4 linked regions of the Schizosaccharomyces pombe genome follow. The protein of the gene in region 4 purifies or fractionates together with the protein of the main gene of each other region. This does not show direct contact. Each region holds a gene or a part of one and is shown on either strand. Other genes may lie near its edges.

Region 1 (6,651 bases), 4.5 Mb from region 4:
CACGCTCGGTCCTCTCCTTACATTGATACCGGACATAACGAAGCTAGCAAATTTTCACATACGTCTTTTGACCCCAAAGCATCTAGTAAATCTTCTAATTCATTAAAGGAAAGTGTGGAAGCTTTATCAGAAATACCTTTTGAAGATGCGCCTGCACTAGACGAATCGGATCTTTCTGGGGATCCCTTTTGGGCTATACAGCCCAAACAATCTTCCTCCCAAGTACCTAAAGAAAATCATCACAACATTCAATCCAAACTTTCCATTAACACAGAGGCTGCTACGGATTTGAAAGCAAATGAACTATCTTCGCCTAAAACTCCTGAATACTGTAGAGGTGATGACAGATCCATTAGTTTATCACCGTTATCTTATCGTTTAAGAAAGTCCAAACATATTCGTGAATCCCCACCGTCTTCAAAGGTTATCAATTCTGGTAACTGGGAAGTTCGTCCATCTGCTGATGATCTTTATGAGGATGTTGATCGATTTTTTCCCCGTTATGATTTGGATAAAGTACTTGTAGTGGACCAAAGCCGCATGGTTTCTTCCCCTTCAAAGGTATCGATACGTCCGAAAATGAAGTCTGTACGATTATTAGCCCGCGAAGCATCTGAAGCTCGGAAAGAAATACGACATAACGCGAGACGCAATAAATCTGGAAATCTTCTACGTCGATCAAGTACGAAACTTTGGGGCTCTAGGATTGTAGAACTAAAACCAGATACTACTATAACTTCTGGATCAGTTGTTTCACAAAATGCCACGTTCAAATGGATGAAAGGAGAATTGATTGGAAATGGTACTTATGGTAAGGTATTTTTGGCTATGAACATTAATACGGGTGAATTGATTGCAGTAAAGCAAGTTGAAATACCACAAACTATTAATGGCCGTCATGACCAATTACGCAAAGATATCGTGGATTCCATTAATGCAGAAATTTCTATGATTGCCGATTTGGATCACTTAAATATAGTGCAATATCTGGGTTTCGAAAAGACGGAAACGGATATAAGTATATTCCTGGAATATGTTTCAGGTGGTTCAATTGGTCGATGTTTGCGGAATTATGGTCCTTTCGAAGAGCAACTGGTCCGTTTTGTATCACGCCAGGTGCTCTACGGGTTGTCTTACTTACATTCTAAAGGTATTATACATCGAGATTTAAAGGCTGACAATTTGCTCATTGATTTTGATGGAGTTTGCAAAATTTCAGACTTTGGAATATCTAAGCATAGTGATAATGTGTATGACAATGACGCAAACCTGTCCATGCAAGGATCCATCTTTTGGATGGCACCTGAAGTAATTCATAATGATCATCAAGGATATAGTGCTAAGGTCGACGTCTGGTCCTTGGGATGTGTAGTGTTGGAAATGTTAGCTGGTCGTAGACCGTGGTCTACAGATGAGGCTATCCAAGCTATGTTCAAGTTAGGTACCGAGAAAAAGGCGCCTCCTATTCCTAGTGAATTGGTGTCTCAGGTATCACCCGAAGCGATTCAATTTTTGAATGCATGCTTTACTGTGAATGCTGATGTAAGGCCAACCGCAGAGGAATTATTAAATCACCCGTTTATGAAATGTGACGAAGAATTCAACTTTAAGGACACGAATCTTTACGACATGCTTTGTAAAAGAAAGAGCTAAATTGGTCGCAATTATTATTTATTACTTAGCGTTTCCTCGCAGGGGCATGCATTCTCAATTTCTTCTTATAGCTATTTATTTAATATTGAAATTAATTTTGAAAATTATTACATTATTATACAAACAAACATACATGATCATTTTCAATTTCTACAATGTATTTAAAAGTAAATTTTCATTTTGTCAAAATTGTTTCGTTTATTTAAAATTAAAACTGATATTAATAAGATGTACTCTTCCCGTCTGAAACCTTCCTTTTTTTGAGTTCCCTAGTATTTCGCTTTGGTAAACTTACCTTGTTAAGAGGATTAAAACCCCGTTTCCCAAATTTATTTTTTCCTACATCAGAGTCTAAGTCAGCAATAAAATTCTTTTGATTTTTATAATCAAAAGGTGCTTCATTGATAATTGGACTGTCATTAGAAACATGTTCGGCTTCAATAGTAAGTTTTCCGCTGTTCTTCTTTTTCTTCTTTTGCTTCCGTTTTTTTGACACTGAAGTTGAAGCTTCCGAAGGTTCAATATCTTCATTTCGCTCCTCTATGGGGTTTGAGGGTTCTTTATGATTAAGCTTAGAAGAATCCCTTTTTTGCTTGTTCAGCCCTAAATCCCTAATGACTATAGGCTCTTGTTTCTTCTCTCCATTCAGACTCGGGTTTGCAGCTTCAGTTACAGTGGACTGCTTTACATTCAATTCGGATTCAACATGCCCTTGAGTACAAGGAAGAGTTAATGAAAAAGGAATATTCTGGTTCACTATAAAGAGTCTCTCTTTACGAGCTTTCCGTAAATCATCTTGCGACTGTCCCTCAATCCAAAACGCAGATCCATTTGCCAGCAAAGTCTTTAGTTTACTTCTATTTTGTTTAGAAATCTCGAAAACACTGGAGTCAACTTTGTAATCACCCAAAGTATTCGATTCGGAAAAAACTGCTAGCGGTTGATTTTGCTTCTCAACTTCTTTAAATTGGGATTTCTCACGATCTACTTGCTCATTATACAACTTTTCGGCTTCTTGAACGACTTTAACGATATCTTCAACATACATGCGAGCAATTGGTGTCAATTGCTTAGAAATTGAAAACACATCAGCCGCTTCAACCGGTTTACTGGCGGCAATCGCAATAAGTAAACGATTTGGCAACACATAGCGAACACTTTCATCTTCTTTTCGGGCTACGGAATCTCTCCAATCGTGCAGTGCTCGATAAATCATCAAAGCTTCCCGTCCAATTATTTTAGAAGAGCCAAACTTAGTAAGTACATTTCTCCAGCCATCAGTACCAAGTCCATAAATAGGATCATAAGGCTCAAGTTCATACTTTCTAAGAGATATTTGTTTACTGGAATTGAACACTGATTGCATAAGATTTTCTTTTCTTTCAGCTGATTTTGATATGAGTTCATTTCGTAAATGATCCCAAATATATAACAAATAATGCGTATCAGATTGAGCATATTTTAACATTTCCCGAGGCAAAGGACGGATTCTCCAATCAGCCATTTGGTATCTTTTATCTGCATCATAATCACAATACTTTTGTAACAGAAAAGCCAGACCATGACCCTCAAATCCTAAAACTTTAGTAGCATAGTATGTATCAAATAAGTTTACAACGTAAAGCCCGAAATCTCTTTGCAGCCAAATGATATCCATAGTTGCACCATGAAAAACTTTAATGATATTTGGATTAGTAAAAACAACATTCAAAGCTTCAAGCTCTTCGCGGAGTTCCAAGGTGTCAACAATCCAATCTTTTTCTCTATTACTAATTTGCATTAGACAGACGAACCCTCTAAATGATCTGTAATCATGGTGTTCAAGATCAACGGCTATTTCTTTGCTGTTTTGTAATTCTTTTAGCATATCCGATAACTGACTTTCAGTACTAACCCAGATAGGTTCTGTTTCGTCGACAGAGCCAGTATCGATGGGATTAGACATTTCTGAAACCCATGGAGGATATACGCTATTTTGTATTTCTGGTTCATATGGATGTGGTAACGAGTTTTTGAGACTAGGGTCCAATTTGACTTGAGCGATAATCTTTTCGAGCGGTACTAACGAATGTGGTTTTTCAGTTAACTTCCAAGACCACACAAACTCCCTGGAATTATTAGGCTGTACTCGAAACCTTAATTGAGGCTTAGTAAGATGAGCTGCGTGAATAACCTTGTAGGGCAACTTTTCTTTCTTTGGTTTTTTATTGGCAACATCGCTTGTCGACGCATGGGTTTCGATCGCTGGCTTTTTTAAAAGTCCTTGAGCTTTATCGATAGAATAGTCCTATATTCATACGTCTTAGTTAAATAAAATCCGTTTACAATTTCAAAAATTCACTTACAGCTTTTTCAAAGAGTATGTCTAATGTGTCCGATACTTCTGCCCATCTATTATCTATATCTTCAACGTCCACAATATCCTCCGCCCGACTTCTGTCTACTTTAGAAAGAAGCAATTCAATTAATCTCATAAAACGAGAAGAAACACTTTTTATGTTTTCATTGAATTCGGTATCAATTGATTTATAAAACGGTATATCAACCTTTGCCAATTCAGAGCAATAGGCTGTACTATTCATTAAACCCTTAAACAATTCTGACTCATCCATTATGCTATTGTTTACCCTACTGGATCAGTAAGGTTTTTGGTTTGGTTCAGGAATTTTCAAGCACTTTTACCACACGCTCAACGAATTACCGAACTTGAATATAGACATCGTTAAAGTACGAAATACAAGAGCTATTTTTATATATATAAAATATTTTACACAAATGCAAAATCTTAGCAGAATTATGTAAAAGCAATTATTTATGATTAGTTCAAAATTGTGAAACTATTAGCAGGCAACTATAGAGAGGTCTTTTATAATATAGGCATTCAATTTTGATCAAAAAGTAAAAAAATAATCAAAGTAGATGAATTACAAATTTAAAAACTTCGGATAATCTAGAATGGATGAAACAATCAAATCAGTTGGATCATCGAGCGTCCTTTTTTGGAAAATTAATGAACGATATATGTATTGAGACCTTCTATAAGGATTAAGAATTGTAACAGCAACCATCCCATGATGTTGATGATGGATCAACACATGACTTTCGAAATAAAATATTTATATATGCTTCGATCTATATACGATAATTTCGTCGAATAGTAAACCGTAAGTAGAAGGAAGTACCTGAGATGCTGAGTAAAAATAGAACGAAGACCTTTAAGAACTAAAACGCAGAACAAAGTTGAAAGATCGGCAAAAACTCTACACACTATTACTCTTATCAAAGGACAAACCACATTCATCTATTCTAGCAATTAAATCCCGTTCGGAGAAAGAAGTCTAATTTTTGTTCATCCACTGTTCTTCATGCCATGGACCGGCGTCAGATAGTTCGCAGCCACCTGGACATTGGCAGTTTCCACCGAGTTTAGCAGGAAGATTATCAGCAGGGATTTGTTCGAGCAGAGCACTCTTATAGTTTGAGCCTAAAATATGAATTTTTTTGACAGTTGCCTCATCCAAAAAACCTTTGATAAGATTAAAGGCAGAAGAGAATCCCCAAGGAGCGTTAATTACATAAAACTTGCCCATCCTTTCGGGGTAATAATCTTGACTCTTTAACGTGTTAATACTTGAAAAAAAAAAAAAAGAACAAAAATTTCAACATTTTCAACTTACAATGCTTGATGCTTGACGAATGTAGCTGTAAACCGAGTGAATACTAGTAATACCAACACCCTTTAGATCCATGATTGTGCACGAAGTTTCAATCAAGCCTCCTGCTTTACGAGAACAAGCGGGCTGAAGACGGTTAATAAAGATGAAAAGAAATATCAAAATGAAAAAATATATCACAAAAAATTCAACACAGTAGAAAACCAAAAGTTTTTCTATTAAAAAGCCGAAAAACCAGCCTTATATGGAATATGCAAATCCAAAGGAAAGGTTTGATTATGAGAATTACTGGAGATACATTTAATCATTTGAATTTACTTACAAACCGTTTTAAAGCAAGCATTTCATATTCATAAACCAAATTTTGCATCATACGCTCGGGAGTCGTGATTTGGTACAACTTCTTCAAATCAATGTTACCGAGTTGCTCAACGTATACCGGACGGCCGTCGATGTCAGTTTTATGATAAAATTGAGGGTAATATTTGGAAACGGCTTCTTTCTCATCATAATGAAAGTTTTTGATAAGATCATCAACACCAAATTCTTTTCTCCACTTTTCGCATTTAATAAACATTTCCAGCGACTGTTGCAAATTAAATTTACGGGCTCTCAAAAAACGCAACTAAGAATCCATTAGTACAAACACAAAGTTTCCTGCTGTACAACTTACTAAAGTGGCATCGTCTAATCTTTCCGTGTATCCAAGTTTTTGTAACTCTAAACGCATGCTATCTAGCGTAGCTTGCTGTGTAGAATTCAAATGCCCTGGGTGCCCTAATGGAGCATTTGGATTAGTTAGAGGATAAGGATCCGATATAGTTTCTGACATCTTTTTGTTTAGACGATGGTTGTAGAGAGAAGACCTAATGACCCAGTCTGTACAAGATGTATAAAGGAAAAGGAAGAACGTCAGCGACCTTAATACTAGTGGTCATCAGCCGTGGGGGATCAGTCAAGCGTGGGGGCCTTTTACCTACTACCGCAGGAACCTTTGTTGCCATGCTACACCCAACGCTATTGTTATATGTGAGTATGAGGATAAACTTCAGTGTTAAAAATCAGATGAGAGGAAGAAGCTCCTCGTATGAGGTTTAAATTGTGTATAACCAATTTTTCAACTTGCATGAAAAGTGCGACAAATTTGAGATGCAGAATGGCCTTCAACGAGGCGTTGAAGGTAAATAAAACATGGGGAAAAAGTGACAATTTAACTTTGTGGAAGCATTTTTTCTTTACCAAAAAAAACGAACGATAGATAATGTTTATTTTATTTAAGCCTTTGAGTGCGCTTGTGGTGATTTTCTGTCATCAATATTTATGC
Region 2 (9,877 bases), 3.6 Mb from region 4:
AATAAATATACAATGAATTCAAAAAATAATTATTTAACAGTTCTTTTGACCCTCAAGTCAAAATTTTTAATTTGGGAATTATCCATATTTTGCACAATACCTTATTCCCCGTCTTCCATTTCTGTGTCCAAAGGTTCCAAAACGTTGCATTCAAATTCTTTTTCATAATCCACACCCATATAAGAATCGCTAAAGCAGCTCAGTTTATATTTTAAAGTTCCCATTGCCGGGGGCACAAATTCCATCTTGGTAGTCAAGGACCTACCTAAGGTAATCTTCTTAATTGCCAAGAGGGTTTTGTCATCCGAAATTACAAGCCACCAATGTTCAGTTTTTTGAGCTGGAAAGTAAGGAGCAATGACAGTCGTATCAACTTCTTCATCCTCTTCCAGTTCTCGAGTTAGTTGAACAATAAGCACAGAGGGTGAATTAGCGTGAACATCTTCAGAGTCTTCTATTTCAAAATCAATGTCAATATCCGGATATTTATTGATAAACTCTGCGCATTTGGCAAGATGTGCATTATCCATATGTAACAATTCAGTACGTTTTTCGTCATCCAAATCGATAATATCAAAGACATCATGAACACCCTCTTTATTGCATCGTTCGATTAAAGCGTCGTCGAAATAGGGTATCTGTTTTAAAGGACTATCACGATCCCATAAAGCTTGCGTAACCATTTGCGACATCTCCATTGGTCTAATACAAGCTATTAAATGGCCTTCGGAAGACAATGTATCAACACAAGCGCCCAGAAGATTATGTACCCTAGTCAAAATGAATTTCTGATCTATAACTAAACCAGGAGGCAATTCAAATCTAGAAAAATGAGCTGCAAGAAGAATAAATGATTTCGTATGAGGATCTTCATAGTTAGGATTACTTAAGCGAACAGGCAGGCGGGAATGAATTCGCTCCAGCACAATATCTTCATACTTTCGAATTGGGAGTTGCTCATATTCTGCTGCTGATGTAACAATTTCTAGTAATCCCTTCATCTTCGTGCGCTCTGACAAGCTCAAAGCAAACGTTTGCATAGTAATGTATGTAATTCCGTAATGAGAAGCTATCATTGCTAAATTTAATGCGACACAACTATCATCCTCATCGTCTACAGTGATTAAGCGTGCCTCACTCAAATCATTCATGGTTGTTTCTACAAGATCCGAAAGGAATTCAGAAACCGACTCATGAGTGATATCTTGAAGACCATAATAGGCAGGATTGGCAACTAGTCTCCGGTACATATACGACCATGTAAGCCAATCTACAGCATCTTGTTTGCTTTCAATGGTTTGCGTAGATATTTCTGACACGAAAGCATCGTGCAGCCAAACTTGAAGATGGCTTTCCATGGGTAATGGCTCATTTAAAAATTTCTTGTAATATTCCTTCTTAGTAGTGACAGTCATAAGAATAACCTGGCTAAGCTCACTTGATCCAATGCTAGCAGTAAACCCGAGCATTTGTAATAACTCACTTATAGGATAATCAATATAACGATGTTCTTTGCCATCATAGTATTGAGTACCCATCACAATAACAGCGTTTGATTTTGCTTTTAAGGAATAAATAACATCGCGAGAAGCTATCAAAACCTTGATAAGTCCATGACGGTAAAGATATTGTACAATATTCTGATCATTGGACGATGTGATTTCACTAATATAAGCAATACCATGCTTCAATGATTGCTGCAAGGCAGCATCTTCAACTTTATTGAAAGCTTCATTCTCCATTAACGAAAACAAATACTCATCTTCATCAGCCATACTGAATGTAACTAAATCAAAAGCTAATTGTTTCGCTACTTTCCTGTCAGGAGTAAATACAATAGTAGACTTTCTCTGAGAAATAAAGTTCTTCAAGCTGCGATATATAGGCTTGCTCATAGCCAACATAAGGGAAGGGAAATGAGTAATACTGAATGATTGCAAATGAATAGTAAGAGGATTAGGCCTGTCTTTAGGACTAAAATTAAATATGCATTGTGGACTAGTCCCAAGCCACTCACCCAAATCTCGAGCATTAGCAACAGATACTGAAAGGCCAACCACTCGGATATTTTTTTCTAATTGTACTGCCATGTACCGTATCCGTGAGATCACTATTTCGTATAATGGACCATAAAATCCACCAAGCAATTGTAATTCATCACATATATAAAAATCAACTTTCTGAATGCTTCGCATACTTCTCCATCTCTTCGACAATGAGTCCCATTGCGATGGCGTGCAAAATATCAAGTCAGCAACTTGTATCAGCTTCAAGTCTTGTGAACGCTCACCCGTCAATTTTACCAAAACTTTCCCATCACCGAGGTCAGAAAACTTGCCATACCATTCTTCATATCGACGATCAACGATTTCCTGAATTGGGGCAATGTAAACTGCAGTACCATAATCTTCTTGACTCCAATGATGTAACAAAGCAAGTTCGGCACAAACAGTCTTTCCACTTCCATTGGGAGCACCAATAAAAACACTATCGTTGGTTTTATAAACAGAGTTAAACACCTGTGTTTGAATCTTGTTAAAAAATTTAAAATTAGGGTAGAGGGAAATGAAGCTTGGGTTATTAAGACTAGAGACCGGGGCGTTCTGAAGATCAAGAAGAGGTGTTGGCGCAGGAAATTTTTCTGGCATTATCAGGCGCTGAAATGAAAGAGGTACCTTAGTTATCGAGTGTAACCATCGATCTGAAACTATCTTTATAAAGTAACAAGGAGGAAGAGGTTCTAACAAAGGTACTGTAAAATTTACAATATGCTCATCATCTTTGTATTTTTTAAGAAGGAAAAATTGTTCATAATGTAGCAATCGGTCCCCGTCCACGTCTTCTACAAGGATCCAAAAAGCTTCAGAAGTGCCGCTTAAATGATCATCCCAGTTGAACTGAGAATTTATAACAAGTTCGACCCGCACAAGCGATCTTGTGATAGGTTGAACATGTGCTTCGACGCTCAACCTTGGAAAAGACTGAACCATGTTGTACACACGCCTCCCTTCTTTTGGCACCCCTACTAATTCTCCTAATTCAGCAGGGTCCAGATCAAAGTATCGCTGCCAAGGAAATTCCTTTTTCTCAACGCGGCGTATTACTTCAGAAGGACAATTGGGAAACTGTCGAAGGGGGCTCATAGTTGGCCAAAGCCTTTTCTCAATCATTTTGCATGTATCAAGAGAGAGTGTTGCAACAGATGACCAACCACGTCTCAATGATATCTCGAATATTGCACGCATAATTCTACCCGCTGATTGCGTAACGTATACCATGTCTGCCACAAGTGCAAATCCATCCAGGCGTTGTCTTGATATATATGATTGGAGAAGGGCATTAATCTTGGCAGCAGGTTCATCTAATCTTTCCCTAATAGGAATTGGTACTCTTTCCAGCAACTTCGCGAGTTCAACTTTCTCTTCTTCACGGACAGGAATGTGCTTAAATTCATCAGAAAAACTGAAGACTCGAAATAACTCGATAAAGGATGTTGTCTGCATTAAAAGACGATTATATATGGCCATCGAGTTATGAGTAACGTAATAACTTGCAGCAACTTTTCCCAATTCCGTAGCGGTCAACGTACCACTCTGACGATTATACACTAGTAACTTGCATTTTTCTAATAAAATGGCAGCTGAATGAAGTAAGTCAGCTCTTTTTTGAACAAGATATTTGTCATCATCATACTCTGGGCCGACGCTATATAGGGCAGGGGATCGTAACATTCGAACATAGAGGTATGTATAACCAAGCCAGTCTACGCCATCTTCGATACTACGAACAGTTCCTAACGATACTTCGGCATTTAAACAATCAGCTAGACGGCGCATAAATTGAGACTCAATTGGAAGCTGCTGATTCATTAGTGATAGATAATACTGTAACTCAGAGTGGGCGGTAATGATAATTCCTTCACCATATGTGTCGAATTGTGGGCGACCAGCTCTGCCAAGCATTTGCAAAACATCCTGAGGAGAGAGTTCTGTCCAGATACCCTTTTCAGGAGAATAAACTTGGGTCCCTTTGATGATCACTGTGTGCGCTGGTAAGTTTACGCCCCAAGCCAGAGTTGCCGTACTCACTAGTACCTGTATAGTACCATCGGCAAAAAGGTCTTCAGACGTTTGGCGATCCTCTCGTCGCATACCAGCATGATGTATGGCAAACCCATATGGGAGCAAATCTTTCAAATTTTCATCACTGGTAGAGTCGGCTTCAGCCCGAAGAATTTCACGGGATGCGGCATCAGAGCGTAACAAATGACCGATGGTCTCTTCCTCTAGTGCCTTATCTCTTATAAAACGAGCGGTTTTAGCGGTTTCTTTGCGCGAATGTACAAATATGAGGACCTGGTTTTTGCCAGCGTGTTGCATAACTTTTTCATAACAAGCTTCATTAGTCGTCTGCATTCGTTTAAACGGTGTTTTTTCTGTAATGCCTATAAATTCTTGCTTTAAAGGGCATGGACGATATGTCGAATCGAAGTAAAAAAGCCCTTTTTTAGGGTCGACATGTAAAAAACTGGCAACATCGGTATAATTAGGAAGTGTAGCAGACAAACCTACTAATCGAACTTGTTCAAGAGTTTCCTCCTGATGGCGAAATATACGAGCAACTATAGATTCTAATACAGGACCTCGTTCATCATGAAGCAAATGAACCTCATCAATAATAACTAAACGGACTAGATTGACATAAGATAAATCATTAGCTTTTCGAGTTATAATATCCCACTTCTCGGGTGTGGTTACAATTATTTGAGTTTCACTAATTTGTTGTTTAGTCAATTGACTATCACCAGTTAACTCTGCGACTCGAATATTGTATGGAGTAAGCCTCTTTGAGAAATTATTAACCATCTCTTGTACCAACGCCTTCAAGGGAGCAATGTAAACAATTTTAAAATTTTGTAAGTTAAAGCTAAGATCTTCACGTAAATGTTTTTGTAATTCGTTAAGGATACATAGCATTGCTACATTTGTTTTTCCAGCACCAGTAGGAGCGCATAAAAGGATGTTTTCGTCAGTACCAAAAGCGATAGGATAAAGATGGCTTTGGATTCGGTTTAAAGATTGAGTATTAAGAAAAGCTTGATGAGACCATTCAGGCAGTTCCTTGATTTTTACAAGACGCTCGTCAGCGCCAAGTACGGCTTTGTTGGGGGCAGGAACATGTATTTCTTCATACCCTTTACCAGTCCTACGAAACGAGCCTTCAGGTAGCTTGACAGCTTTATTAGACATGAGACGTGATCCCTCAGTAAACACATAATTTTCTAGATCAACTTGGTGCTTAGGTACAATTTTATGGGAAGTCAAAGTTTTCGAAAGTGGAATTTCAGAAACGGGCGCAGGTTCAGCTTTCTCAACAACATTATTATTTAATTCATTTAAACCGTCATCAGGTATAGTGATAGCACCAGGGCGTAGAGCTTCGAGAATCCAAGACCGACCAGCAGCACGAATTTGCTCTTCCACACCTAAGCGTTCTTCATCAGTAGCGGCGCGTTTTAACATTGTACACGAAACTATTGTCCAACGATTCTTAGTCAAAAGTTGAACAAGATAGAAATGTTCATAATCAAAAATACTCATCAATTCATTTTCCAATTCACCGAGATCGTAATCAGCCGAAAGTGCCTCAAACGCTTGATTTGTTTTTTCCTGACAAACGACGGCGTCAGCAAAATATTTTGCTATTTCTCGTTGCAGCCAAAATGCATCGATTTCACGAGGATGAACAGTGGGTATTTCGGTAACTTTTTTGGTATCAGCAGAAATAAATGTAACCTCTGTATCCGGATTTTCAATATTCTTTTTCTCTTCTTCTTGAGATATGGAAGTTTCTAAGACGACGTCTTCATCTTCTGCCACTTCATCCTCTTCCATTGCCTCAACAGCTTCTTCCTCTTCATCGGCTTCATTGAACAATACTGGTACGCCAGATTCATTAACGCCTTCTTCATTTAACTCTTCTTCTTGCTCAACTGTATAATCTGTTAAGCGATTTCCCAAGTTAACGAGCTGTGAAAACCGATCCTGTGGGAGTTCAGTACTCAAAACCTCCTCTATTTGCTTTTTACGACCTTGTTCATCTAAAGAACTATCCTTAAGAAGTTCAATAATCAAATCAGCAGCAGAACGGAGGATTTCAGGAGACTGATCGCCAAGGTATTGTTGAATGAAACTCAAGATATAATCATAAACTTCTCGGGTCTCGTCGGTTAGAGGATTATATTTCAAAATTTCAAAAGAATCAAAATATTTAAGTATCGCTGAAGAGCGCTTTTCGCGTTCAGGTTGCCGTATACCAATTTCTAAGGATTCTGCATCTTTACGAGGTAACCGGACCTCCTGAACTTCCTGCGTCAATTCGAGAGGAAGGGTACTAGGTTTTTCAATTCTCGCTCTAGAACCCATATCTGCAATACTAACTCGATTTACCAGAGATTCCGGTTCGCCTGTAGGTTCAGCATCACGTCGTGACACAAATCTTCGATCAGCCTGCGTAACCAAATTTGACATTGCAGAATAACTATACTGTGATTGACCATAGTTTGGCTTCTCCTTACTATTTCCATGTTTGGGAGGCTCTTTCGAGTCCCCTTTAGGATGTGCACTCGACATGATTGTGAGTGGCGGAGGATAAACTGAATTTTCAATTTTCGTCTACTTCGAGGTATTAGAAGTGTTCATTTCTGTCAGCAATACTACACTACGCTATAATACACTACGTTGAGTATCACTATATGTCACATGTTCTAATTATATATCGTACCATGTATGATACGATATGGAGATTGATCTTAATGATAATCTATTAAGATCAATATTATCTGAATACTATAAATAGAGCTACTGCTGAACCTCGTTCCTCAGTTCAGTTATGAGCTATATTAGTGATAGGTAACATTATAACCCAGTTAATACAATACCTATACTCAGTTGCTACTTATACAACCTGTGTATTGTAATATAATAGATCACAAGGAAAGCTCACCGCAGTTCTACGTATCCTTAAATCAGATACCAAACTGCGTAGCTTACAATAACTGAACTCTTGTGATCTACAATTAACTCCTTTTAGGAAAAAGGAATTATTGAATAAATATATATCATAAATATATATATTTCTCTCCTTCTGGGTTCAAAGGAGAAAGAACTTTGGAAGGACTGTTATCCCTTTTGAAATCTCCCAAAGGGAAACATATACAATGTCCTACGCAAATTATCGTTATATGAAAGCAAGAGCAAAACGATGGAGACCAGAGAATTTGGATGGAATTCAAACATCAGACGAACATTTAATAAACCTTTTTGCAAAAATATTATCGAAGCATGTACCAGAGATAGGGAAATTCGATCCTAATAAGGATGTTGAAAGTTACATTTCAAAACTTGATCAACACTTTACTGAATACCCTTCATTATTCCCAAATGAGCATACTAAAAGACAGTATACATTGAATCACCTAGAAGAATTAGAGCAACAATTCGCTGAACGCATGTTTTCTGAGAATGGAAGTCTTACATGGCAAGAATTACTCAGACAAACAGGGAAAGTACAAGGATCCAACAAAGGTGATCGTTTAACTAAAACATTTGAAGGTTTTAGAAATCAATTGGACAAAGTTCAATTTATAAGGAAACTCATGTCAAAAGCAAATGTTGATGATTTCCATACTCGCTTGTTTATATTATGGATGCTGCCATATTCCTTAAGGAAATTAAAGGAAAGAAATTACTGGAAATCAGAAATCAGTGAAATTTATGACTTTTTAGAGGACAAAAGAACAGCCTCGTATGGTAAAACTCACAAGCGTTTTCAACTGCAAAATAAAAATCTAGGAAAAGAGTCCCTTTCAAAGAAAAATAACACCACTAATAGCAGAAACCTGAGGAAGACAAATGTTTCGAGAATAGAATACTCATCTAACAAATTCCTAAATCATACTAGGAAACGTTACGAAATGGTATTACAAGCTGAACTTCCAGACTTCAAGTGCTCAATACCCTGTCTAATCGATACGGGCGCTCAAGCAAATATTATAACAGAAGAAACTGTTCGAGCACATAAACTGCCTACCAGACCCTGGTCAAAAAGTGTGATATATGGTGGAGTTTATCCAAATAAGATTAATCGCAAAACAATAAAACTTAACATAAGTCTAAATGGAATATCAATCAAAACAGAATTCTTGGTTGTAAAGAAATTTTCGCATCCAGCTGCTATCTCCTTCACAACATTATATGACAATAACATTGAAATATCTAGCAGTAAACACACGCTCTCTCAAATGAACAAAGTTTCAAATATTGTCAAGGAACCTGAGTTACCAGATATCTATAAAGAATTCAAAGACATTACTGCAGAAACCAATACGGAAAAGCTACCAAAGCCAATAAAAGGGTTAGAATTTGAAGTTGAACTAACTCAAGAAAACTACAGATTACCTATCAGAAATTACCCGCTACCACCGGGAAAAATGCAAGCTATGAATGATGAAATTAATCAAGGATTAAAAAGTGGAATTATACGAGAATCTAAAGCCATTAACGCCTGTCCAGTAATGTTCGTTCCGAAAAAGGAAGGCACCTTGAGAATGGTGGTTGACTACAAACCTTTAAATAAGTATGTCAAACCCAATATATATCCGTTACCACTTATTGAACAATTACTTGCTAAAATACAAGGTTCTACAATTTTTACTAAACTTGACCTCAAAAGTGCCTATCACTTGATACGAGTAAGAAAAGGAGATGAACATAAACTTGCTTTTCGCTGTCCTCGTGGAGTTTTTGAATATCTAGTAATGCCTTATGGCATATCTACAGCTCCAGCACATTTTCAATACTTTATCAATACAATACTTGGTGAAGCCAAAGAATCACATGTAGTATGTTATATGGATGATATTTTAATTCATTCAAAATCGGAATCTGAACATGTAAAACATGTTAAAGACGTTCTACAGAAATTGAAAAATGCGAACTTAATTATCAATCAAGCAAAATGTGAATTTCACCAATCACAAGTAAAATTTATAGGGTATCACATTTCGGAAAAAGGATTTACGCCTTGTCAAGAAAATATAGACAAAGTCTTACAATGGAAGCAACCTAAGAATCGTAAAGAATTACGACAATTTCTAGGTTCTGTCAATTATCTTAGGAAATTCATTCCAAAGACATCACAATTAACACATCCACTCAATAATCTTTTGAAAAAGGATGTACGCTGGAAATGGACACCAACACAAACCCAAGCGATAGAAAACATTAAACAATGTTTAGTTTCTCCTCCGGTGCTACGACACTTTGATTTCAGTAAAAAGATTCTACTGGAAACTGATGCTTCAGATGTCGCTGTAGGAGCCGTATTGTCTCAAAAACATGATGATGATAAATACTATCCTGTTGGATACTATTCAGCAAAGATGTCTAAAGCACAATTAAATTATAGCGTATCGGACAAAGAAATGCTTGCAATCATTAAGTCTCTCAAACATTGGAGACACTATTTAGAATCCACTATCGAACCTTTCAAAATTTTAACAGACCATCGAAACTTAATTGGTCGCATTACTAACGAATCCGAGCCTGAAAACAAACGTTTAGCTCGTTGGCAATTATTTTTACAAGACTTCAACTTTGAAATTAACTACAGACCTGGATCAGCAAATCACATAGCTGATGCCTTATCCAGAATTGTTGACGAAACAGAACCAATTCCAAAAGATTCAGAAGACAATAGTATCAACTTTGTTAATCAAATCTCGATAACCGATGATTTTAAAAACCAAGTGGTTACAGAATATACGAATGATACAAAATTGTTGAATTTACTAAACAATGAAGACAAACGAGTGGAA
Region 3 (6,773 bases), 1.8 Mb from region 4:
GACCAAAAGGAAGGACTAATGATTGAACTCTGGAAGGAGCAACAAACGAAAAAAAATCAAATTCCATAGCATCTCCAGCAATGTAATGTTTTGGAGCACGTACTGAGAACAAAGTGCTTGAATACCATTTAACGGATTACATCCATACCATCACTAATTTATTTTGCATATTTCTGTTGATTGTCGATCATAAGTCGGTAAAATAAACTTTTCAAGATGATATCGCTTAACAATTATCATTGTTGTGAAATGTCTAATATTTGTTATGCTTTGGAAATACCATTCTGCATATACAGCTGTACAGCTGTTTTCAGTAGATTATTTGGAATCAAAATATAATTACAACTCAATGAACTGGTTGCAGTAATTTTAATTAAGGCATGTGTAAATAATATGTAAACTATCTGAAGAATGTGAATCTGGCATTTCAAAAATTTAAAAATCCGTTTGTTTATGCGAACTTGACTTTATAGATTAGGAGGAGTATTTTGTAATTTTTTTCCTTTTTTACAATCGTTTGGTATTCATGAAAGAATCGTATATCTCGCCATAGCAATTTATGAAAGGCATTCTGAATGGCAAAAACTGTTGAATATTGAACCGTTTTGTTATTATTATTATTGCTATTTATTTTATTCTCAAAATGGTAAAAAAATAAGAGAGATTGAAGGAAATACTGGTGAGGATAACGTAATGTTTAGAAGCGTTACAGCAAGATGATTGTGTTTCAAGTCAACTTTCCAACTTCAAATATGAGCGCTACAAGTAGAGAAGGAAATAAGACAAAGATAGGAATAGTAGGAGGTAATTTTGGAGAACAACAGTTTCATAAATGATGAGTGAGCATGCTGACGATGATTTTTAGGTGGCATTATTGGAATTTGTACGGCGTTTTACTTAACAGAAGAACAAGAATACAAAAAAGGAGAATTGGACATATTTATATTTGAATCAAAAGAAATAGCAGGAGGTAGCTCCGGCATTGATTCTGCAATCTTGACAAAACTGTGCCAGAATGAAATCATACAGCCACTTTCAACTCTCGCTTTGAAGCTTTATGAAGGATTGGATAAAAAATTTGATGGGAAGAAAAACTGGGAATATAGGACTGCCAATTCTTGGTTTTGTAAGATGAAATGGGACAATACCAATGTTGCCAAAGTTCCCGATACTTTGCAATGGCTTCAACGAGAGCGCATGCAAAAATGTAAGCTCATAAGTGCTACCAAAAAAAAATAATAACTTTATTGTATAAGTCATATAGAGACTAACCATTTAGGTTCTAGTATCGGTTCCGGCAACGATTTTGCAATGATCAATCCAAAATTGTTTTGTCAATTTATGGCAAAAGAAATAGAAAAACGAGGAGTAAAGTTTATATTTGGAAGTGTGAAAGAGGTTAGTAAACACCATATTACATACGTTCCAAAACAAGAAGCTGAAGATACAATAATAAAAGCACAGGTGCATAAAACGCTGGTGAGTGCTGGGCCTTGGACTGGTTATCTATTACCATTTACTGGTATTGCAGGTCTATGCATTCCCATAATTCACCTATCGGTAGGAAATTTTCCCGTTGGCGACAGCATTGTTGTGTGTTGTTTAAATACCATGGGTAATCTAAACATTTGCAAAACAACCGAAATTTTCAGTAAAAACCGGGAGCAGCTTATTTTTATGGGAACTCCAAAATTCCATTTGCTGCCAAAAGATAGTAATCGATGTTTTTTTAATCCTTTTGAAATTATCGAATTGAAAGAAATGACCGATTTGGTGCTCTCGGAGAATACGAAGAGTAACTACTTAGACGCATCTTTTAAGTTCCTTCCTACCAGTAGAATAACAGGTATCCCGATAATATCAACAACCAAGTCTGGTGTATTTGTTGCAGCGGGTCACGCCAACTGGGGGATAACTCAAGCTCCTGCCACGGGTTTATGTATGGCAGAAATGCTCCTTGGCAAGGAAAAAACAAGCATAAACACAGATCCTTTTCACTTAAATCTCGGTGAATGAGGATTTCAAATTATATCCTCTAATTTTTGTTTTAATTGTTTGTCAAAAAAAACGAAGGACTCATTCACTGAAAGGTGAAAATATAGAAGCAGAATGGATGCTTATTCCTTTACCGAAATAGAATATTACAGTGTTGTAAAATTTTCTAATCATATTTATTAAGGTTTTCGTTTTTATCGCATTGGAAAATCGATTTTCTTTTTTTTTGTTTTACAATTTCCATCTCGACTTAGTATACCATTCGTTACCTCTAAGTTGATTGTTACTTGAGAACACTTGCTCGTGTTTTTACAATTCTGCTATACGCCAACAACAGTAAGACACTAACATTCCTCACAAAATGTCTTCTTATCGGGGATCAACTCGACCCAGAAAGAGGACGAGAGAGGGAGAGAATTATGGATTTCGTCCCCATAGAGGAAACTCTCAAGAGCTACTTGCAGCGCGTATAAAAAAGGATATTACCTTTTTGGCGGATCCTCGAGGAAATTCAGTAGCTGCTGATGACATTAATTATGTTGCTATGTCTCTTAGTCGTGAAGCTAATGATCCTGAAACCATTTCAACTATCTTAGATTGCATTCAGACAACGTAAGTGATAATTTATACTGTCCCTTCAGAAAACTAATTTAATCCTTAGTGCATTTATCATTCCAGTCAAAATACCTCATTTGGCTACATTAATTATAAGAGCCTCATTAAGGGTTCCTTTAATCTTAGAAAAAGCAGCTGCGTATTTTTGTTTACAGTATTTTACGAATTTAAACTCCTTTCTTTATTACGAGGCTAAAGTCGATCTACGAATGCTCATTTGCATGTCATTTGCACTTCAACCAGGTACCCTTAAGCCACTATTTTCATTACTGGCTGACGCTATCTCAAAAGAAACCAAACCCAGTGTCTGGGGAGATAATTTCCTGCGCATAATTTTGATAAACCTTCCATATTTCATCGCAGCTAACAACGATCTCGGTAAAAAGGATTTTGCTAATGAGATACTGGATCAATGTGAGATTTACGTTCGTCATAGGAAATCTTCGATAACTCTAAGTAATCCCCTTTCAATACATGACAATCTTTCAGAGGAGGAATTGGACTTACTCTATAAACAACTAATTCTATCTCGGGAAAACGACTTTACTTTTCCTTATATATCTCAACCCTGGAAGTTTTTTGAATCTGATTTCGTTCATATTGTTCCGGTTAGCCCAAGTATTCCTGAATGGACGTTTCAGCCCACTCCTCAGCAAAATGAGCTACCTTCCTTCAAGAGATTTTTTGAGCTTTTTAATAACTTTGAAATTCGCACGACTCCTGACGCTTCCGACGTTGCAGCCAGCATATTTCGTGATATAAGTGTGGATGTTATAAACCATTTGGAATTTAACCGAGTTGAGGCTGCTCAAGTTCTTACAGATTTAGATGTTTATTTTACCTACAAAACTTTTGCTCTTCGTGGTACTCCAGTAAATGAATTACCAAATTTAGATCCATCGGAATCACGTTGGAAAGCAGAAGATATCATAGTTGAAGCTGTTTTGGGTGAGCTTCTTGGTTCACAGAATACTACGTATAAACCTGTCTATTATCATTCGCTTTTGATTGAATGCTGCCGTATCGCTCCTAAAATTTTGGCTCCAACTTTTGGAAGGGTCATTCGGCTAATGTATACCATGTCTTCTGATTTACCTTTACAAACACTTGATCGATTTATTGACTGGTTTTCACATCACCTTAGTAATTTCAACTTTCACTGGAAGTGGAATGAGTGGATTCCTGACGTTGAGCTGGACGATCTTCATCCAAAAAAAGTTTTTATGCGGGAAACTATTACTAGGGAACTTATTTTAAGCTATTACACAAGAATTTCTGACTCACTCCCTGAAGAGTTACGTTGTTTGCTTGGCGAACAACCGTCGGGTCCCAATTTCGTGTACGAAAATGAGACTCATCCGCTATATCAACAGTCAAGTCAAATTATCGAAGCATTGAGATTACATAAACCGTTAGAAGAACTTGACATTATTTTGCAGAGCGAGGAGATTCAAAACTCCGAGACATCTGCTGTCCGATTAGTTATGTCTTGTGCTTATAGCTTGGGTTCGAGATCGTTTTCGCACGCATTGAACGTGTTCGAGAAACATCTTAATACATTGAAACATTTTTCTCGAAAATCATTAGATTCCGAAATAGAGGTTGTTGATGAACTTTTTTCATTTTGGAAATTACAACCGTTCAACGCAGTTATGTGGCTAGATAAAATGCTGAACTACTCTATAATTAGTATTACCTCTATTATTGAGTGGTTGATCAAGCAAGACGTGACTATATGGTCTCGTAGTTATACGTGGTCACTTGTTAACACCACTTTTAATAAATTAGCAGCTAGATTGCGGCGTTCGGTTTCTAACAAAGAAGACTCTTCGCTAATCAATGAAGCGAATGAGGAAAAGGAAATTGTCACGAATTTACTATTGTCAGCTTTGCGCGCCCTTATTTCCGAAAATGCTGAAAATATATGGGTATCTCATTGGCTTAACCTTATGTTAAAATATGTGGAATCAAATTTCCTCTCTGTTAAAAAGGACACGATAGAAGAAGCAAACGAGCCTGTTCAAGAAAATACCAGTGAGGAACAGGAAGACACAAAAATGCAACCCGTCGACGCAGTAGATGAGCAGCCATCAGAAAATAATCAAACAGCAGCTGATGCAACTAATGAGGAAAAATAAAGAAAGTAGTCTATAACAAAAATGAAGAAAGTGTTGTTTTGATATCAAAAAGATTAAACTGAAGAACTCGACTGGTAATCACGACGTTGTCAATCTGCTACAACGTTTGAACGTGGATATAGCTTATATTAAATATTTAATTATAACGTCCCATTTTCATAAGCACTTGTAGGACGCTGCTGCACTTCACAGTTAAGTTACTAGAAACGAAGATTTCAATTTTATAGGTAACAGGGTTATCAGATCTATCAGAGGTAACGGATATCTAAAGATAAGATATTTTACGATCGACTTGTCGGTTCTAGTTTTGCGTAGTGTCATACTATGTGAGCGAATGGATAAGCGAAATGTTCACTCACATCTCCGATATCAGAAGTGACTAAATCTTTTCTCAGTTTAACGAAAGGATTGCTAAAATGTAACAAAATCACTACTGCCATCAGTAACTTACACTTAACCAACCACTTTGTGCTATTGTAAGAAGTAGTGAGGAACAGAGGCAGTTTGGTGGATAGAACTAGGATTTAAGGGACATTTGCACAGCTACTCCTTCTCAACTTAGCTTCGTCGAATATTTCATTTACTTTAAAGGATAAAAAAACTGACACAATATGTTGGAAGTACGTGCTGCCGTAAAGGCACCTTTCAAGTTGGCTGCCGCAGGCCGTGGTTTCATGAATATGCGTATGGCTTCAAGCAAATCTTTTCAAAAGATCACTGTTAAAAACCCAGTCGTTGAAATGGATGGTGATGAGATGACGAGAGTGATTTGGAAGATCATTCGTGAAAAGTTGGTTCTCCCATATATGGACATTAAATTGGATTATTATGACCTTGGAATCGAAGCTCGCGATAAGACAAACGACCAAATTACTGTGGATGCAGCCAAAGCTATCCTCAAAAATGATGTCGGTATCAAATGTGCCACCATTACTCCTGATGAGGCTCGTGTGAAAGAGTATAACCTCAAGAAGATGTGGAAGTCTCCCAATGGTACCATTCGTAACATTTTGAATGGTACAGTATTTCGGGAGCCCATTTTAATCAAAAACATTCCCAAGTATATTCCTGGATGGACGAACCCTATTTGTATCGGGCGTCATGCCTTTGGAGATCAATACAAGTCAACGGACTTGGTAGCTTCAGGCCCCGGTAAGTTGGAACTTTCATTCACCCCTAAAGGTAATCCTTCTGCTAAAGAAACATACAATGTTTACGAGTTCAACGGTAGTGGTGTAGCTATGTCTATGTACAACACTGACGACTCTATTCGTGGATTTGCTCACAGTTCTTTCCAAATGGCTTTGCAAAAGAAAATGCCACTTTATCTTTCCACTAAGAATACAATTTTGAAAAAATATGATGGTAGATTTAAGGATACATTCCAAGAAGTATATGAATCTGATTACAAGCAAAAGTTTGAGGAACTAGGTTTATGGTATCAACATCGTCTAATTGATGACATGGTAGCCCAAGCTATTAAGTCCAATGGTGGTTTTGTTTGGGCATGCAAAAATTACGATGGTGATGTTATGTCGGATGTGGTTGCCCAAGCTTATGGATCCTTAGGCCTAATGACTTCTGTCCTCATTCATCCCAACGGTCGCACTTTTGAGAGTGAGGCTGCTCATGGTACTGTACAGCGTCACTACATGCAATACTTGAAAGGTAAGAAGACTTCAACCAACAGTATTGCCTCTATCTTTGCCTGGACTCGTGGTCTTGCCCATCGTGGTCGTTTAGATGGCAACGAACGTTTAGTTAAGTTTGCCAACGCCCTCGAGCATGCTTGTGTTCGATGCGTTGAGAAGGGTATTATGACAAAGGATCTTTACCTTCTCAGCAAGTCTCCCAATGGTTATGTTGATACATTCGAGTTTTTGGATGCCGTCAAGTCCGAGCTCGATTCGGAATTGGTCAACATTGCCTAATTTTAGTGTTAGACCTGTTGATTAGTGAGTCTTTGAAGTTTAAGTTCTGGATTATTCAATCATGTTTTTACTAGGATACTTTTTGTTAAAACAA
Region 4 (7,351 bases):
GACTTGATGAAGAAATGAAATGCCTAAAGGATGAGCAACTCTCTCAATTTGACACGGTCTTTAGTTTGACTGATGAACGGGATGGATTACAGAAGGATTTAAAAAACACTAAGGGAAATCTTGACGATGAAATCGGGCGCTCTGCATTTTTAAAAAGCCAAATCAGGGATCAAGAGCTAACTATTGAGAAGCTCCATGACAGTTTGGAGACTTTAAGTCAAACTAACAATAGTTTACAGTGTGAGATTTCTGAAAAGAATGCAGAGTTAAATTCAGTAAACTCCAAACTTTCTGAAGGTAGAGCACACCTGGAAACCGCGAATAAGGAGAATGAGATATTGAAGCAGCAATTGGAGTTAAGTGAATCCAAATTAGCCAGTTTGTTAAACTCTTATCAATCATTTATTAATAAAAAAGAGCACCTCTATTCTTTTTTACAGCTTGTCGAGCCATCGTTCGCTAAAAGTGATTCATCTAATGCTACCGAATCCCAAATTTCCGAAAGTGTACGAAAAGGAATTTCAATATTTAATCTTTTGTTCATTGTTTACAAAAACGTATGCTCTCAAGCTGGAATTAATCCATCTACAAAGCTTGAAGATCTTGATGAACATACACTTTCTGATGAGCTGACTTATATAACAAAAAAGTTTGTACAAAAGGATCAAGAATACCAAACGAAGGAAATCGAGTTAAGGAATTATAAAATTACTCTTCAGTCGTTACTTGAAGATAAGCTTATCGGTGTAAATACTGATTGCAGATCACCTTCTTGTTCAGACTTTGAGCAACTAGGGCAAGAAAGCGAAAATAATACTTCTATCTCAGGAAGGGTTAGTAAATTAGTCAAAAGCTTTAATGATTCATCTTCTATTTCCAACAACACAAAAATCTCAATCACTAAGTCCCCATCTGGTGAGAAAGTTTCCGTATTTAAAGAGATGTCAGACATAGCTCTGCGCGATATGGATAAAAACAGAAAATTATTGGGAGAAAATGTTGACGTGAGAAATATTGTTGTCCAAAAGGATGAGTCATTGAACATTGACTTACAGAATAATGCTGTAGTACCTGAACTGCACTTCAAGGAGGGGATGGTATACGATTCATTGGAAAATGCGTATACTTATTTGGCCGAATCCAAACGCATGTTAGCAAATGAACTTCAGATGAAGCAAGAAGATCTTGAAAAAGTTATTTTAGAACTTGAAGCTTACAAGGAAATCTTCTTAGAAGAAAAACAAATTCCTTGTGAGGAGTTTATGCCAGGTAAGAACGCAAAATCCGAAAAGTCACTGCGGTCAGTTTTTCAAGAGCAGTTGATGAGAGAAACAAAGCGAGTTCGAAAATTGGAAAAAGTAAACTCTGAATTGAAATTGCATTGCTTTGAACTTTCTGAACGATTGAGGGAGCGCGAGCATACACTACAGCAAACATTTGGAGACAAATAGTATGTTCGCAAGTAGTAACAGATCAAAGGTACTAGCCTCATTGAGATTACCAATAAATAATCTATGAATACGGTCTTTCGTTTTAAATGCTTGAAGGCCGCCTGTTAGCCTCAAATGATAACTTGACCGGTCTTAAAATTTCGAGGTTTATGGGGGAATTTCAATAATAAATAATAACAAAATCTAGCATTTTTGTTAGGTGATTACATGAAAGCGTTTTGATCTTAAATCATTTCTTCAAGCTCCTGAAAGGCTAAATTTTTCATGTAACGGATTAAACAGACTAAATTCAGATTAATAACTTAAGCAACGGAAGAGTATGTTATAAAACTGCACGATTACATATTCCTCGGTCTTTAGTATTTTTGCACGATCGGCCTTGTAATCAGATACGGAACTACCTTTTCGATGAGGGTTTTTAGTAAAAAGAGCTATTACCAGTGTTACTGTCAATAGTCGGCTTTCGTGCTAAAACATCATAAACGGATACCCGAACTTTTATTGCACACGAAATTTGCATAAAGCACAATGTTTTTGTTGTTTTTAGTTTATGAACTTCAAGTTTTTAATAAAGGCCAAAGACTGTTCCAACGTTAAAACCGAACTGAGCGAAAGAATATTTCTTTTTCTCATGTGCTCATAGAAGGATATGCTAGTAGAAAACATTATCATTATTGGACAAAGGTTTAAAACACAGTTTTCTCATTTTCGCTATTTTTCTTGAACTTCTCCAGATGTTCTATGTTTCTATTTATGAGACAAGGCGGCCGCTACTAAATTACTGACTAGTCCATTAAAAGCAGATTTCCCGCTATAATTTGATAACTCAAAAATGTTATTTCACCTTCGCGTAAATTTGTGCTGTAAACTAGCAAAAGATAATTGGATGCGAAAGCTTTGAATCACCGCTACACTTTTCGTATGAGCAAGCCAATAAGGCTGAACATATTAGCTGTTCTTGTGTTACTTTTTAAAATTGTTTGAAAATATATTTGCTACATTCAGTATACCTGTTCAATAGACTAATTCCGAATGTTTTGTAAATAAAGAGTCTTAGTGCATATTTCAGACAGTTCATTAGAACAAATAAGAAAGTATTCAACCATCAATATCTTTATTAGGGAATAACATGCTCTGAGGTGAAAAAACTTTATGTGCAATAATATTTAATGTTTTTCGCGTTTCACTGTCTTAACTGGTACTACAAACAAAACATCTGCTGTTGAAATTTGGCACTACTAACCCAGTTTTAGCTGTAAATAAATGTCCCGGTCAATAAATCTCGATGAGTTGCGAAAAAAGGCTTTAGAATCAAAAAAGAAGAATGAAGAAGATGAGAGTAATGACTCTGACAAAGAAGATGGCGAAATTAGCGAAGACGATCCTGTTATAGATCAATCAAATTCAGGTAAGGTAGATTAGAGATGGAAATTTACACAAATATATTGTGAAACGAGACTTTTTGTTTTTATAGGCTTGTTCGCATTTTATTGAGTTTTCCTCGACGATTGCTTGCATTCGTTTAGAACATTTCATATCTCTATTTATATGCGTGGCTTTTTTTTTTTTAAAGAGAGAAAAATAAAGCTGGCAGAAGCCTTTTATATGTATTTGGAAATTATGTTTTGATATCCATCTTTTCAATTTTCTCACCGTTTAAATGAATTCGTTTTTTTAACAGTTTAGTTCCGCCAATGAAAGTACCAACCTTTCCTGAGCAAATTCCTCAGTTGCCTCCTTTTGATAGGTAAGCATGGCATTTGATTAAACCTGTCAGTGCAGCTTATTTATCTTTTCTACGGAGCTATTCTCCGCTAGTTATGCTGTTCTGTACGGTTTAACTCCAACTTTGGGATTACGAGAATGACAATTTGTAAAATTTCCTTTTTTTTTTTCGAACTTGAATACATTCAACCCATCAGGTGTCTTATCTAACTAACACACTAGATTTCCTGGAACTAACGCGAATTTTTTTCCATTTGGCGCACCTTTTATGCTTCCTCCAGCTTTGATGTTTGGACCAAATACAGTTCCTTTCTTTCCTCAAACCGCCTCCTCAAACAAAACCTTTTCGAAGCGCAAACGGTCATCTGAGAATTCATTCAACAACCGAAATAAGGCGAAGTCTTCTGAAACATCGGATTCTTCTAATACTTCCCAGTCATTTAAAGAAAACCGGGCTCTTAAAGATACCGCTACTAGCCGACCATTGGCTTTATCATCCGACACTTCTTATCAAAAGAGTGAAAAGGCAAAATCAGAAAAATCACCTTTTCTTTCAACATCTAAAAATTCTGATGCAAATTATTCCAAGACTACTAATCAAAAGGAAGCAGAGAAAGCTGTGAGTCAGTTGTTTGAAGTAGGAGTGCGCTTTAACGATTTTATTGCTGAGGGCATCGAGCCTTCGGTTGTTCATACTTTATTTTTAAAGCTCGGACTGGATTCCTCTTCTGCTAGCTCCCAAGGAAGTCTGACACTATCTGCAGACAAAGCTGCTAGGTCTGCTAAACTTCGTAAGATTGACAGTAATCTTAGTGACACACATATATTACCTGGCGATAATGGTACACCTACCGTCCTTCCTGAAAGAAAAAATCTTATATCTTTACCACTTTTGAAGCAGGACGATTGGCTATCTTCTTCGAAGCCTTTTGGCTCCTCGACTCCAAATGTAGTTATTGAATTTGATTCCGATGATGATGGAGATGACTTTTCGAATTCGAAGATAGAACAATCTAATTTAGAAAAGCCCCCCTCAAATAGTGAAAATGGTCTTACTATGTCTCGTTCAGATTACTTGGCGCTTCTTCGCAATAAAGAAGAGGAAATACGGCGAATGACAAAGTTGATCTTACGGCTTGAGTCTAATAAAAAACCGTATAGATCGCCAACTTCTGCCGCCGATATGAAACTTCCATCTGTCCCTGTAGCTGCGGTTGACAACAAATCTAAAACACACTTGGATACCTTTGAAAAAGTCGTTGATCTTAGTTCCAAAGCCGATTTTGTGGAGGCTGGACCTTCTATTAGCTCGTCAGGAGCCTCGTCTAGTGCTGCAACTACGAATTCTGATACAACTGAGCAGATATTAGAGGCACCTTGGCTCAGAAAGACGGAACAAATTGCTGTGGTACATGAAGAGCATCCCGCACAGATTAAAAAATCCGAGATTGACATTTTAAATAACTTAATAGAAAAAGAGGAAGGAGAACTAACAAAATATCAAACTTTGGTGAAATCAAAAACTGAGATTCTAACACAATTGTACACTAGGAAAAAACAGTTACTCGAACAACAAGGGAAAGGAAATGTTGCATGTTTACCTAAAGAATCTGATTTAAGTATGGACTCAATAACCGAGGTTTCCGCCCAAGCAGATGAGAACTCATCACAGATTTTGTCTTCCAAAACGTCAAACGCGCCAAATGGGACGACGGAAACAGATTTTGAGGATAAGGTACCGCTTGTCGATTATATCTCTCCATTTTACCGCTTTAAATCTTATCGATTTAATCAACAATTTGTTGAGCGAGTACCGTTGAAATATCGGTCGCTTACCTACAGCAATAAGATAGAGCCGATGAAAGTTTTCTGTAAATACGAAACCACTGGTGGTGTTTGTAATGATGACCATTGCGAGGCGTCGCATTTTCGCGACATTAAAATGACGGGTTATGGTATTTGTGCTGTTGATTTTTGACTAACCTTTATACAGATGATGAAATTATACAAGATTTATCAAGGTACATCGAAGGAAATGATGAAATTGAGAAAGAGTCTTATAAATCCGGTTTAGATATAGTCATGAAAAATACCGATGAGAACACCGATTTCGTCGATGTTGCTACTCGAATCGTCGAATATCATAATCTTTGGAAGTCGGAGAGAATGACAATTCCTGTTGCAAAGGTTTCCATTTAGATTGAAACTGCCAAGCAACATCAAACTAACTGTAAAAATTTTGACCGTCAAAATTACGTCCTTGTACTATAAACATCACTATACATAAACAATGGCTCTTTGCCGTTATAAAACTAATGTCACTACTTAATATAGCTCAGGTTAGAATTATGTCTTTCGTACTTTCTATGCTTGCATATGAATCGCTCATCTTATTTGAGGCGATATCAAAATACTGGAAGATTAAGCATTTACTAGTCTGATATTTAATATATTTAATATATGTAATACGTTTAAAATCATTTCAATGGTTATTGATAAAAATGCGCGTATTGTAATAAGAATGAATTGAATCCTGCAAACCAAAAGTAAATGATTTCTTGAAAATGATGATGGATTAAACGTAACTGTAATGTCCTAAACTTTTGCCCTAATACAACTTCCAGAGAGATATTCTGGTGTCTTTACTAGCTAACGCAATCACGTTGCTGCCTGGATGAAAGGCCAAACTATTAATACCATCGGAGTGATATTTCAAAACCGCTAAAGGAGCTAATGTCTGGCAGCTGTAAACACGACCTCGACCATCCCATCCTGCAGTTGCTAATATCTTGTTATCACTTCGTATACGAATATTTTGTTGTCCACAATGCTTTGTCTTTCTAAATATAGGATGAGGCAGACTACCAAGATCATCAGCTATAGATGAAGGAGTAGGATGCAGACATATACAGTCATCAGCACCCGTTGAAAATAATTTGGAACCAGCGTACTCTACCGATAAAACTGGTTGAGAATGACTTTTGTAGGCGTAAACCATCTTCCAAACAGCTTTAAAATCGAGGGTAACAGTCTTTACATTTTCTAATGAACATATGTACTGAACCACATGACCGCTTTCGTAACCGGCAGCTAATAGTACATACTTCTCGTCAGTAACGGTTACTGAGGTTGACATTACTGATCCTGTTTTACCAACAGACTCTTCTGGCTGAATTCTCGTCTGTAGTCTTTTTCCGCAATCCTCTTTGTGTGTTTGAGGATGATACAATGATTCATCATCATATACATCAAGCTCTTCAAAGTTCAATGTATTGCATAAAACTACTATTTTAGATTGAGGAGAGTAAGAGAAGGGGCAAAAGGTTAGGGAATTAACAACGATATTGGAATGAATAGATATAAATGCGCTGCTCTTCTCAGTTTCAGAAGAGGCTTCAGGACCGTAATTTTGAAGTTCAGCTAGTTTTGATAATGACATAAAATTGTCGGTCATGCAATTAAAATCGATTTTCCAAGTGACGAGACGACAGTCTCTACCGTGAGTGCATAAGGCTCCTCCCTTGACTATTTGCATGCCCAATATGGTTTTTGTATGAGCTCTCCAGGCGCATTTTGGTCGCATACTAGTAAGACACCAACAAATTACAAAACCTGCCTCATCACCAGAATATAAGTATTCATTAGCGTCAAAAAGTACACTAGTGACACTGCTAGAATGACCACGTAAAACGTAAAATGGAGTAGGAACTACCATGAAAATTTAAATTAAAGCATCCACTTTGAGCAAATATTTGTAATCATCAAGCTGAGAGGATAGGGGAACAATACAAATTGAACTGTAAAACGAATTGTTGGTGGTAAGGGAATCAATTTTAATAAGCGGTATAAGACAAAATTATAACGGTGAATCCAGAAGGCATTTTTTTTTACCAAGTGATATACCATACTTGTCAAACTACATATTTACTACTAGTACGAATGAACGATAACAATAGTGCAAAAAGTAGTAGATAAGAAAATGAAATAAAATTCTACTATACCTGACATTACAAAAAAAAATCAGTCCTAAAAGAACAAATTGGTATCGTTTTAAATGATTTCATTGCTAAACATAACAAATGTCATTACTCTGAGCTTGTTCGTCTGATGACAGTAGATATTCAACAACTTGGTTAATTGATCATTCGTATCGGAGCATCAAAAAATAAACAATC

Evidence for each region.
Region 1: the proteins of red1 (region 4) and rrp6 purify together in Schizosaccharomyces pombe (affinity purification with western blotting; 2 studies listed by BioGRID, with this or other methods). This does not show direct contact.
Region 2: the proteins of red1 (region 4) and brr2 purify together in Schizosaccharomyces pombe (affinity purification with mass spectrometry, with the first as the bait; 2 studies listed by BioGRID). This does not show direct contact.
Region 3: the proteins of red1 (region 4) and cbc1 purify together in Schizosaccharomyces pombe (affinity purification with mass spectrometry; 2 studies listed by BioGRID). This does not show direct contact.

What each region holds. Positions count from the first base shown.
Region 1 is NC_003424.3:608,500-615,150, reverse strand, and holds rrp6 (exosome 3'-5' exoribonuclease subunit Rrp6), read right to left. Parts: upstream 4,304-6,651; 5' UTR 4,266-4,303; coding exon 3,999-4,265; exon of another isoform or gene 3,941-3,998; coding exon 1,874-3,940; 3' UTR 1,813-1,873; downstream 1-1,812. Other genes in the region: MEK kinase (MEKK) Mkh1, read left to right, coding at 1-1,653; spo20 (sec14 cytosolic factor family, phospholipid-intermembrane transfer protein Spo20/Sec14), read right to left, coding at 4,992-5,267, 5,331-5,453, 5,650-5,952, 6,001-6,159.
Region 2 is NC_003424.3:1,458,628-1,468,504, forward strand, and holds the start of brr2 (U5 snRNP complex subunit Brr2), read right to left. Parts: upstream 6,653-9,877; 5' UTR 6,633-6,652; coding exon 102-6,632; 3' UTR 1-101. Other genes in the region: Tf2-1 (retrotransposable element/transposon Tf2-type), read left to right, coding at 7,220-9,877. UniProt on the Schizosaccharomyces pombe protein: Involved in pre-mRNA splicing. May be involved in endoplasmic reticulum-associated protein degradation (ERAD) and required for growth at low and high temperatures. Required for pre-spliceosome formation, which is the first step of pre-mRNA splicing.
Region 3 is NC_003424.3:3,226,177-3,232,949, forward strand, and holds cbc1 (nuclear cap-binding complex large subunit), read left to right. Parts: upstream 1-2,333; 5' UTR 2,334-2,356; coding exon 2,357-2,607; exon of another isoform or gene 2,608-2,656; coding exon 2,657-4,748; 3' UTR 4,749-5,222; downstream 5,223-6,773. Other genes in the region: TRAPP complex subunit Trs120, read right to left, coding at 1-67; tda3 (FAD-dependent amino acid oxidase), read left to right, coding at 753-804, 866-1,207, 1,280-2,016; isocitrate dehydrogenase Idp1, read left to right, coding at 5,360-6,679. UniProt on the Schizosaccharomyces pombe protein: Component of the CBC complex, which binds cotranscriptionally to the 5'-cap of pre-mRNAs and is involved in maturation, export and degradation of nuclear mRNAs.
Region 4 is NC_003424.3:5,069,236-5,076,586, reverse strand, and holds red1 (protein Red1), read left to right. Parts: upstream 1-2,688; 5' UTR 2,689-2,714; coding exon 2,715-2,859; exon of another isoform or gene 2,860-3,137; coding exon 3,138-3,198; intron 3,199-3,398; coding exon 3,399-5,125; intron 5,126-5,169; coding exon 5,170-5,375; 3' UTR 5,376-5,656; downstream 5,657-7,351. Other genes in the region: protein mcp3, read left to right, coding at 1-1,451; ASTRA-associated protein 1 Asa1, read right to left, coding at 5,785-6,891. UniProt on the Schizosaccharomyces pombe protein: Promotes the exosome-mediated degradation of mRNAs containing a DSR (determinant of selective removal) signal sequence from mitotic cells.